Drosophila melanogaster: one gene and its partners. The protein of the gene in region 1 purifies or fractionates together with the protein of each later gene. This does not show direct contact. Each region holds a gene or a part of one and is shown on either strand. Other genes may lie near its edges. The genes, in order: CG5565, JMJD7 and CG8132.

What was found.
Region 2: the proteins of CG5565 (region 1) and JMJD7 purify together in Drosophila melanogaster (affinity purification with mass spectrometry, with the first as the bait; one large-scale study listed by BioGRID). This does not show direct contact.
Region 3: the proteins of CG5565 (region 1) and CG8132 purify together in Drosophila melanogaster (affinity purification with mass spectrometry, with the first as the bait; one large-scale study listed by BioGRID). This does not show direct contact.

The regions. Positions count from the first base shown.
Region 1 is NT_033779.5:1,354,324-1,357,544, forward strand, and holds CG5565 (uncharacterized protein), read right to left. Parts: upstream 1,602-3,221; 5' UTR 1,446-1,601; coding exon 1,379-1,445; intron 1,307-1,378; coding exon 651-1,306; 3' UTR 588-650; downstream 1-587. Other genes in the region: CG31924 (uncharacterized protein), read right to left, coding at 1-568.
Region 2 is NT_037436.4:13,448,607-13,452,053, forward strand, and holds JMJD7 (jumonji domain containing 7), read right to left. Parts: upstream 1,678-3,447; 5' UTR 1,654-1,677; coding exon 703-1,653; 3' UTR 581-702; downstream 1-580. Other genes in the region: cmb (combover), read left to right, coding at 1-439. UniProt on the Drosophila melanogaster protein: Bifunctional enzyme that acts both as an endopeptidase and 2-oxoglutarate-dependent monooxygenase.
Region 3 is NT_033777.3:9,399,350-9,403,118, forward strand, and holds CG8132 (uncharacterized protein), read left to right. Parts: upstream 1-2,145; 5' UTR 2,146-2,217; coding exon 2,218-2,236; intron 2,237-2,291; coding exon 2,292-3,124; 3' UTR 3,125-3,269; downstream 3,270-3,769. Other genes in the region: Or85f (odorant receptor 85f), read left to right, coding at 1-86, 149-202; CG34117 (uncharacterized protein), read right to left, coding at 285-590; RpL34b (ribosomal protein L34b), read right to left, coding at 1,088-1,529, 1,593-1,657; CG9356 (uncharacterized protein), read right to left, coding at 3,275-3,424, 3,494-3,769.

The DNA of each region.
Region 1 (3,221 bases):
TACCAACCAAAGAGGACTCGAAGACCAGACACTTGCTCGGCTCCGGCGATTCCTCAAAACGAGAGGCGGTGGTGAGGAAAACATCCGGAGCGGGTTTCCCCCTCTTGACTTCTTCGTCGGAGCCGCTCAAAACCACGTGGTGGAAGACATCGAAGGGCCTGGAGTGCCGACGCGTCTTTATCCTAAACGAATCCCGACAGCAGCCACTTGCGATAGCCATGGGAATGTTGAACGCTTTGAGGTGATGCAGCAGACGCTCCACACCGGGCATCAGTCGAATGAATCCCATTTTGCCACGACACTGAAGTTCCTGCTGGTTCTCAAACTCCGTCATGCTGAAGGGCAGATTGAAGGTGTTTACGATTAGAGCAGCCTGCTCGGAATCTGGCTTTCCCATGCACCGCATCTTCAGATCGAAGCTATACGTGTGACCATAGGGATCCAGAATCCTTTGAACGGTTTCCGTTCTCAAACGCTCGCTGTCTATCAGCAGACCATCGAGTTCGAAAATGCAATGGGTAACTGGCTGAAAAGAGCACTGCCTAGAACCCGCCTCTTCCGCCGACATTTTGGTTCACTTGAATTTTGAATTATTTTTTATTTTATAGATAGAATACTAATTTTGACGGATCAATTTAGAGTGCTAGGGATTAGCCAAACTCGAATTTGGAGCAGGTGTCAAAGGGTGGTAGACCAAAGAGCTCAGGCTTAAAGTCCGCCATCGATTTTAGAACCATGGTGGCGCCCTTTTTCTGCTGCTTGGAAACGTTATCAGTTGGAATAAAGATGACTTGGGATCCCGCTGCCTTTCCGCCTATGAGGCCCACTGGAGCATCCTCGAATATAAGACACTTTTTGGGATCTGCGGGCGGATTGAATCGCGAGGCGGCCAGGAGATATATATCTGGGTAGGGCTTTCCTCTTCCCGGTCCAAGTGCCGGATCATCGCCACAGACAACGTGGTGAAAGGCCAGGAATATATCCTTGAAGGACTCGGCCTTCACTTTGAACAGTTTCCTAAACGAACTTGTGGCTATGCAGAAGGGTATGCGGTATTCGTGCAAGTGGAGAATCAGATCCCTGACCCCTGGCAGCAGAGCCACACTTCCCATGCTCTTATCAACAGCTGCCTCGAATTCCTTTTGAAATTCCGCAGGTGACAACGGAAGTTTTAGATCCTTGACGATGTGTTGGGAAAATGTACCGACCGGCATTCCCATATGCTGCGTCTGATCGACTTTGGTGTACGTTTTGCCATATTTAGCCAACAAGTCTTGAACCGTTTTGAGGTAGATGCCTTCGCTATCTGAAAGAGCAAAAAAAAAAGGTATGAATATAGAACCATTTATTCAATTAGAATATGTTAAATGTAATGCACCTATCAAGGTTCCATCGCAGTCAAAGATGACATGAGTGACGGGGCAGTAACACTTCTTGGTGGGCATTTCTACAATGGTCTAAGCTCTTCATATCACACACCGCATGCTCCTTAATTTAGAGGGTTCGCCTTGGCCAGAACGGTGCTTAATTTTCCAAAAACTAACTACAACAATTTGATTCTTCTGTTACTGAATTTTCATTAAGAATTTTGAGAGATAATTCCAAGAGGTCCTGATTACATTTTTTAAATTTCATTCCTCTCAGCGGTAGTTGCACTTTCGTAGTTTTAGCTATGTCTAATGCATGCGGCGCACGCTTTTTGGCCAGGACTCGCATGTTGTTACAAAGTTGCGTAATTGATTAAGCAGTTGGCAGCCAAGCCGCAAGAGACGTTTTCACCAGCGCGTCGCCGAAACTTTGGCTTTGGCCAATACGTGCCACAAAATGTTGGGAAGACAGAGGAAGTAGGTACGGTGGGTGGTGCATGCAGCATGTGGTGCTAAACTTTGTGTGGTGGGTGGAGCGGGTGGCGGGTCAAAGGTGAATGCGTCGCGACGCTTGATTTTGGCACGGGTTTAATAGCCAGGCGCACCTGGGCCGTATGAAACGAGTTAACGAAATGTTTGCGCATTTTGCGGAGTTGATAGCGGAAATTTATGATGCTTGATAGGCATCGGATCATGGATTAAAATAAAGATCAATGTCTTTTTTTAATACTATTATCCCCAGGCTTTTAAATTGAATTTAGTTTATTTATTCGATCCAACTTATTTGATAGTTAAGTAGCGCGACTCTAGCGTTTCCCCTTCCTTTTTATATTGCCACAATTTTAATTGATCCTTATTGAGAAAACCCACTTAGTATATTCAGAAGCAACTCCATTGCTTAACTTCAACCATCCGCATTGGCTACCGAAGGATGGGGCATTTTATTACCTTTTATTGGCAGCGCTGGCTCGGTTGCAGTCGCAACCATTGACCGTAACGCATTAATGTCCTGTGGCCGCCAAATCGAAACAGAAGTTGCGCGATGGCGAATGGCTTACTGGTTCACTGAGCTTGCATATTTTATGACCGAGTCCAACTTTAATTGGAACAATACCAATAAATGCCAAATGCAGATGGCCCACAGGGAGAGCCAAAAAGTTTGATGTGCTTTGACCGGGATATCGAAGGACCCGCCAGCCAGTGCGGAAATCAGCTCAAGGGGACCCATCCACACTCGCAGTCGCGTTCACACAAAGCCACAAGGACCGCAAGGATAACAACGGCTTTTGGCCGCCCTCGCTGCAAGTTTGCGGTTTTCGGGGACTGAAATGCAGGCTGGCAGACAAGCAGACCAGTTAACAATTCAATGAACGCAATTACAGCGCCCAGATTTCAGGTGGCAGGTGGAGTGTCCTGGTTGCCAGGACAGCGATTAGAGACGCGTTCAAATTAAACGTTTGCAACATATTGTTGCTGGTCAGCCAAGTGGGAATTCCCCTAACCAAGCCAAAAAAAAAGGAAGGTAATTCGTTAAATCCTTTGGTTGAGACCATGAGTTACTCTGTATAACACATTACTTGGCCTACTATTAGTTATTGATAAAACTAGTTGAAACAAATAGGAAGCAGATAAGGCATCTCCTATGATTGGTATACAATACATAAATATTTTTTTATTAAAGTTGCCTGCTGTATATACTAATGCCACATATCCTTCTACTCATACCGTGTACAAAAAATGGTGAAATATCATAAATGTGGGGCTTTCCAAAATGGCTGGCTGCATAATTTATGCACACAATTCGTCGCTGCTTTCGAATGTCCTGTTCCCGGAGTCCTGTTCCCATTTGGTAGC
Region 2 (3,447 bases), on another chromosome or scaffold:
ATCAAAGCTGACGGCCACTGCTGCCCAGAATTCGACCGCCAGCTCGCCACTAATTTCGCCCAAACGCATATATGCCAAGATCAAGAAGATGGACATACCACGACAGCGGGACGAGTTCCTGCTTTGGTACCGTTCTTATTTGGAGCAGCTGTTTGTGGTGGAACAGCCGCAGGATAGCTGCAAGACCAAGTCGAAGGTGACACCTTCTGGAGCCAGTCCGGCCAAGCTGAAGAACCAGCGTGTGCGCAAACAGTCCCAATCCCAGTCGCAGGACTCGAATAACGATGCAGACTTGGCCGAGGCGGACCAAAAGAACGTCTCCTCCGCGGGAAATGGCGAACTGGAGTGCGAGAACAACGAAAATCCCGACGAGGAGGCAGATGGACAGGCTGCAGCGGAGCCTTCCGGCGCAGAAAAACAGGACGTCAGTCTCGAATAGACTAGAGAATAACCCAACAAAGCAAACATTCCTTATTTAAGAAGTCATCATCTGTACGGATATTTCATATTTCATTTACGAATTTCGGAAAAGATAAATCTTTTATGGTCGTGTCCTTAGTCGTAGTTCGCAACTCATTTTGGGTATCAGTTTTTTATTTAACACTAAATTATGTAACAATAATATATATAAATACACTGAAAACAAGAAGGGTTTTGAATTCACCTAACAATCCCTGAGAATAAATACTTCTCCGGATTCTATTAGCCACTCCTTGCGGACGTCATCTGCTCCAGCATGCGGTAGTAGCAGTACCGGCTATCGTAGTCCAGATCGTACCAGAAGTTCACGGCGATGCACTTGTGGCTTTGGGACACATGGTGGAACCAGTAGTTGGGCAGGTATAGGATGTCTCCCGCGTGAACACGTACTTTCAGAGGCTTGGCCCGGGCGTACTCCGGATATTTGGCCAGGTCGGGTGACAAGGGATCAACGCTGACCCATTCTGTGAACTGATCGCTGCCTTCCTCATCCCTCAACGGTTCAATGTAGAACTGACCACTATCTGAGGTCTTGTAAACGCCTGTAGGGTAAATTCCTCGCGGTACGCAGCTAAGCTGGTGCGGCGGGATGAGAACGAAGTCCTTGTGACCGGATATCACGCAGTACACGTTCTCGTATGGATCCTTGTGCATGGAGGTAACGGCGCGCTCGTCGCCCAGCCAAAAGTTAACAGCATCAGGCGGTTTGTTAAAGGACTGCTGCGCAAAGTCGAGATCACTGACCCGCAGATCAGCAGCCAGTTCCGGTAGGTCCACACTGAGGTTAGAGTTCTGCTTTTGTATGTAGTGGACAGCACCAGTGGGATCATCCAGGCGGCGGACCACCTCGGACAGCTTCATTTTCGTCTCCAGCGGCAAAACGAAGTACTCCTGTCCATTTTGAGTGGCCAAGCCGTCGGCATAGCCATTCGGGGTGATTGCCACATCCACGCTCCTGTCCCCGAGAGCCTCGATCAGGTACTTTGGCGTCCATTTGCCAATCGCGGGCCAATTGAGTGCCTTGCGAATGACCACCGGCTGGTTTTTGGAGTAGAATTCCCGACAAAACTCCAAGGCGGTTGGAATCCTGTCCAGCTCCACTACGCTGCTCCCGATGCACAGCTCCTCCGCTTCCTGGAGCAGAACATCCAGAGCTCTTTCGACCTCGGACATGCCGGTAAACAACACGCACTAACGCATTTTCCGCTAGAGTGGACCTTATCAGCGCAGTGTAATGTGGGGTTCTGGTTTTCAGTGAAAGTTAAACTGAAGTGCTGCAGTGAATTTAATTAGTTTCACCAAATGACGTATTAAATAAATAATATATTATACACAAATTAAATTGAAACATTTATTATTGTAATTTTTGTTACGTTTTTAAAGTAAGTAAGCAAGGTATTCCGAAAAAATCGATAAGGGTCAAATTCGCGTCGGTGAAATGCAAAAATGCTAAGAAAAGAAAGATCTTACTATCTATCTTATAGAGGTTGTCTAGCGTGCATTTTGATTTTGATTTTGCTTTTAATAATTAATTTGAATTTGGTGGTATAGAAATATAAGTGGTATTTTCTGAAACTGCAATGGTGTTGAGAACTGTGGTATTTATTTGCAAGTCGCTTGGTATTTTCCAGCGCTTTCGGCGCGGTCCCACTGGACGCGAGTGTGTTTGCGAGTGCGGGACTTTCAAGACGCGCGCGAAGCTGCGGACAGTCGGATAGGAAGTGGAGCGGACTGGAATGCAAACAAGACGACGCGTGTCGAGTGTTTGTGATAGAAACAAATTGTTTTCGAATACGGTCGGTGCTCTATTTGTTTTGTGAAATACAATTGATTTCACCAGCGACTCAGAGGAGGATCAGGGTCGTCACCTCTTTTGCATGCCCGACATTCGCGCGGATTCGAAGTTCAGCTGGTGCGATTCGAGCAACAGGTGGCGGATGACGGATGGATGGATGGGTGGCTAAATGGATCGTGTCGATGGGCCACGGGATTTGGCGAAATTTGGTGCTGATAGACTTATAGACTGACATAGGCCCGGCATTATTATTTGTGGCCAAAAGGGGTCAGGCGGTGTGCGCGTGAGGAAATTGAATTGACTTGGTGGCCACCGGCGGCGGTCCGAAATCGAAATCTGTGTCGCAAATGTGGCACTAATAAATTATCGCACATTCGCGCGCCGCACAGCGAGTGCTTCATTAATGCAGGAATCGCAAATGACGGAGAATATCTAGTTTTGCAGCGGCACTGCGTTTGTTTCATTTTGCCAGGAGAACGTGACCAAACTTTCCAAGTGCCGCGTGAATTGGATCTACCCAGCCAATAGGTCTTAATAGAGCTAACAATTATTTTTGGTAGCCACGCTTCGCGAAGCTGGGCGCAAACAAAAAAGAACGCAAACTCCGTGGCCTATAAATATCGGTCTTCGGAATTACTAAATCCAATTGCAGTCCAATTAGCAGTCGGACGCCAATGAAGCGGCTGTGAAAGAGTAAGTACGATGCTCTTTTGAAGCAAATACTTGCAAACGTCGAAGTTTACACACCCTAACGATTAAAGAATGTTTAACTTAACTGAAACATAAAAAATTATGCTTAAATAAATAAATTGATGTCTTAATTTGCCAATCAGACTCTGTGACTCTAAACACACAGTTCCAATCAGACAAATTTTCAAATCTAATCTGCTTAAAAATAAACCAAAGTGATTGATAGAGTCTTATGTTGATAGCTATTTAACTGATATAGGCTATAATAGACACTTCCGGTGAAAGTTCCCTTCAATGCATTACAAACCATAGACTGCAGCGCATATACCCTCCAAAAAAAGAGAATCAAAATCAACAAACGCCAACAGTGCGTATGACAGTTCTTACGCAATTAAAATACCATCACTGGCTGTAAGATTTACATAAATTCGGCCTGCGAAACTGAAAACTGATAAGCGTCATAAAAAAAAAATGAGGGGCAG
Region 3 (3,769 bases), on another chromosome or scaffold:
TGCTCATAATCATTATCAGGGCGCAGCAGCCCGTGGAACTTAATGCCATGGGCTACCTGTCCATTTCGCTGGACACCTTTAAACAGGTAAAATGCAAACACCACGTATACTTTATATGACATTATGTGAATTTCGCTTTCAACTGCAGCTGATGAGCGTCTCCTACCGGGTTATAACCATGCTCATGCAGATGATTCAGTAGACAGCAAACACAAGCACGGAGTTTGCAAAATCGGGACGCTTTAATCGCACTACGCTAGTAACTATCTTTCTATATAACTAGATCACTTGGGATCCGAGGGCAGCTTGAAGCCCACCAAATCGGCGGTATCCCTTACGGATCTCTCGCCCCTTCCGTGATATTCCTTGTAGAGCTCCAAGTACCGGCGCTGGCTGGCTAGGTAGGTCAGGTAGGTTTGACCCAGGAAAGTCGCTTCGTTGCGCGCCTTGCAGAATTGTTGTTCCGTGGTGGCGAACTTCTTGTATTGCGCCAAAATGTAGCGCGCGGCCAGAGAGTCCTTGATGCAGCCATTTGGAGATGCCTGGCGCAATTCGTGCAGCAGGGAGCGCAGCACCTTGGTTCCCGCCATTCTAAACACAAAATATTAATTGCATTTGCAAGAAACTATAAACAATCAACGACTTACGTGATTTTTAAGAAAATTCCAATTGCTTCTGCCGAACAGCTGTTCTCAACAGAGTTGCCACCTAGTCATACAATGAATATACAGTGATCACTCTCACAAATTGACACTTTGAAAAATAACACTGGATCTTATTTTTTATAATTATCAATAAATCTGAAAAATCATCAAAAGTTTGACTACGAGCACAGTAAAACTCTGTGACAAACGAAATATTTAAAATTTATTTATTTTAATTATATTATATTCTCACTTTTGAAATCGTTTTGCTATAAATGTCTAAAAGTCGAACGGTCTGATTGGAAAACAAGAACAACCAATAAGTAAAGTACACAATCCAACTGGACTGTCAAACTAAAAATACAAACAGTAAATCCAGTTGGAAAAAACCAATTTATTTTAAAAGTTATTTAGCAGTACACCGAACTCGTTGCGTGGGCTGTTTACTTCCTGGGCTTGCCAGCGGCTGGCTTCTGGCCGGGCTTCTTGCCAGCGGCTCCCTTGGCGCCAGCACCACCCTTGGTGACCTTGCCGGCACCGGCCTTGGTTCCCTTGGCTCCAGCAGCGGGCTTCTTCTTGGGCTCGGGCTTGGCCTTGGGGGCCTTCACCGGCTTGACGAGCGCCTCGCGCTGGCTCTTCAGGGCCTTGACGATCTTCTGCTCCTCGATGAGGAAGGCGCGCACGATACGCTCGCGCAGGCAGCTGTGGCACAGCACTCCACCGTAGGTCCTGGACACGGTCTTCAGGCGCTTGGACATGCGGGGGCGCTCGCTGGGGCGGGAGGGGGTGATACCCTTCAACTTCTCCTTGCACTGGCCGCAACGGGGCACGGTGGGGTTCTTCTTCACATACTGGTAAACCAGACGACCACCGGGCGTGCGAACACTGTAAATTGCAAATGTGCGTTATTTTTCATATTGGTGAGGTGTATTGCAGTTGGATAGTTACATGCGCCGCTTGTTGGAGCGTGTGTTGTAGGACAGGCGTCTCCGGAGCGTCAGACGTTGGACCATTTTGCTGTTGTTGTTGCTGCTTGTCGTGGCGATTCGTGGGTTACATGTGCAAAAGCGGTGAAAATCATTATTAGTTTGGAGTTACACTAGGGTGGGTGCAGTTTGGGCTGCATTTGGTGGTATATTTTCACAATTTTTTCACACATTTCGGCGAATTTGCGTGAAATTGTTAATTGAACACGTGCATACCTCAAAGAGACGAAACTAGAAAGAAAGGTGGCAACCCTGTTCGCGCACGACGTGAACTTGGCTGCGCTGCCCACTGTACGACACTTTCGAGCACTGCAGACCTTGCCAGATTGCCATGAAAACATGGGCTTATGGGGGTTGCAAATTATTTATTTTTTGTTAGAAAAGTTAGGATTTTATACACAATTTAATGCTATATTCTTTTGGTTAAGTATGCTTTGGCTAAGTATATGCGTATTAATATGAGGTTAAATAATGCGTTTTATAAATATTGATCCCTTTTACTACGCCCCTGCGATAACCTGTTGTTGTTTTGCTTGCGATGAAATCTGTTATCAAACCGCGAAAAGATAACATTTAATTGCAGCAATATGAGCAAAACTAGCAACAGTAAGTGTTTCTCAAAATTTCAAAGAGATCCACTTAAATATTTCTTATTTAATAGTCATGCGTTTGGCGCTGCTGCAGCTCAAGGGTTCCAAGGACAAAGTGGCCAATGTCCAAAACGCCGTCACCAAAATCGAGGCGGCGGTCAAGGAGCATAAACCCCGATTGATCACTCTGCCGGAGTGCTTTAATGCTCCATACGGCACCAAGTACTTTCGGGAGTACTCCGAGACCATTCCCGATGGCTATACCTCGCAACAGCTCTCCAATTTGGCCAGGAAGCACCAGGTGTACATCGTGGGCGGAACAATCCCTGAACTGGGCGAAAACGATGCCATCTACAACACCTGCACGGTTTGGTCACCCACTGGTGACCTTGTGGCCAAGCATCGCAAGATGCATCTCTTTGACATAGATGTCAAGGGTGGCATTCGCTTCAAGGAGTCGGAAACGCTGTCCGCAGGCAATGATTTCACCATCATCAACGTAGATGGCCACAAGATTGGCATCGGCATCTGCTACGATATTCGATTCGAGGAGATGGCGAGGCTCTATCGCAACGCAGGCTGCGAGATGATCATCTATCCGGCTGCATTCAACATGACCACTGGTCCACTGCACTGGGAGCTATTGCAGCGATCCCGTGCCAATGACAACCAACTCTTTGTGGTCACAACATCACCAGCCCGTGACACAAGCGCCGAGTATGTAGCCTATGGCCATTCCATGGTGGTGAATCCATGGGCCAAGGTGCAGCAGAGTGCCAGTGAAGGCGAGGAAATCGTGGTGGCCGATATAGATTTCTCCGAGGTGGAGCAGGTGCGTCAGCAGATTCCCGTCTTTGGGCAAAGACGTCTAGATCTGTACGCCACCGAAAGGAAGGCCAAATAAAGGATTGCTTTAAATGGGAAATGGGAAATCTTCAAAAATTCAAGAATCTGTCGTTTTAAGCACCTTTAAAGCATTGCATTTATGTTATTTGATTGTATATAAAATTTATTAGGCCTACACACACATATAACATTGATTTCTGTCGAAAAACTATTGCATTTTATCTAGCTGCTGATTATCGCAGGCAGGAGTTACTTCGGATGCAGGTGATTGCACGTAGTGGGGTCGCTGGGCCTGGTCGAAAAGTGCTCGTATGGCTTCATCGGTGGCCATCAGGGGCTGACTAATGAATTCCAAGGCCTGGTGGGACGGTAATAAGGTGTACCATTAACTGGATGTTTGAATCACTTTAACTATCGCTGTACTTACCCTAACCGCGTACTTCTCCGCCTCACAAAGTGGACTTGTGCTGGCGCTGGACAACTTTAGTGTCTCCTCGGGAATGCCCACGCCAGTGTGCAGGACCATGCGTTGGAGAATGTTAAGGTTTTCGGCACTTAGGCTGATTACATCGGTGGCGGGCAGGTTGAGGAAACGAATCTTGGCCAGGAACTTCAGTTGCTTAAGCATATCTAGCTGAATTTCGCGGATCTGATGGGTGGCATGAAGCAGTTGCTTCGTTGACTCGTTCAATAGCTGATTCTT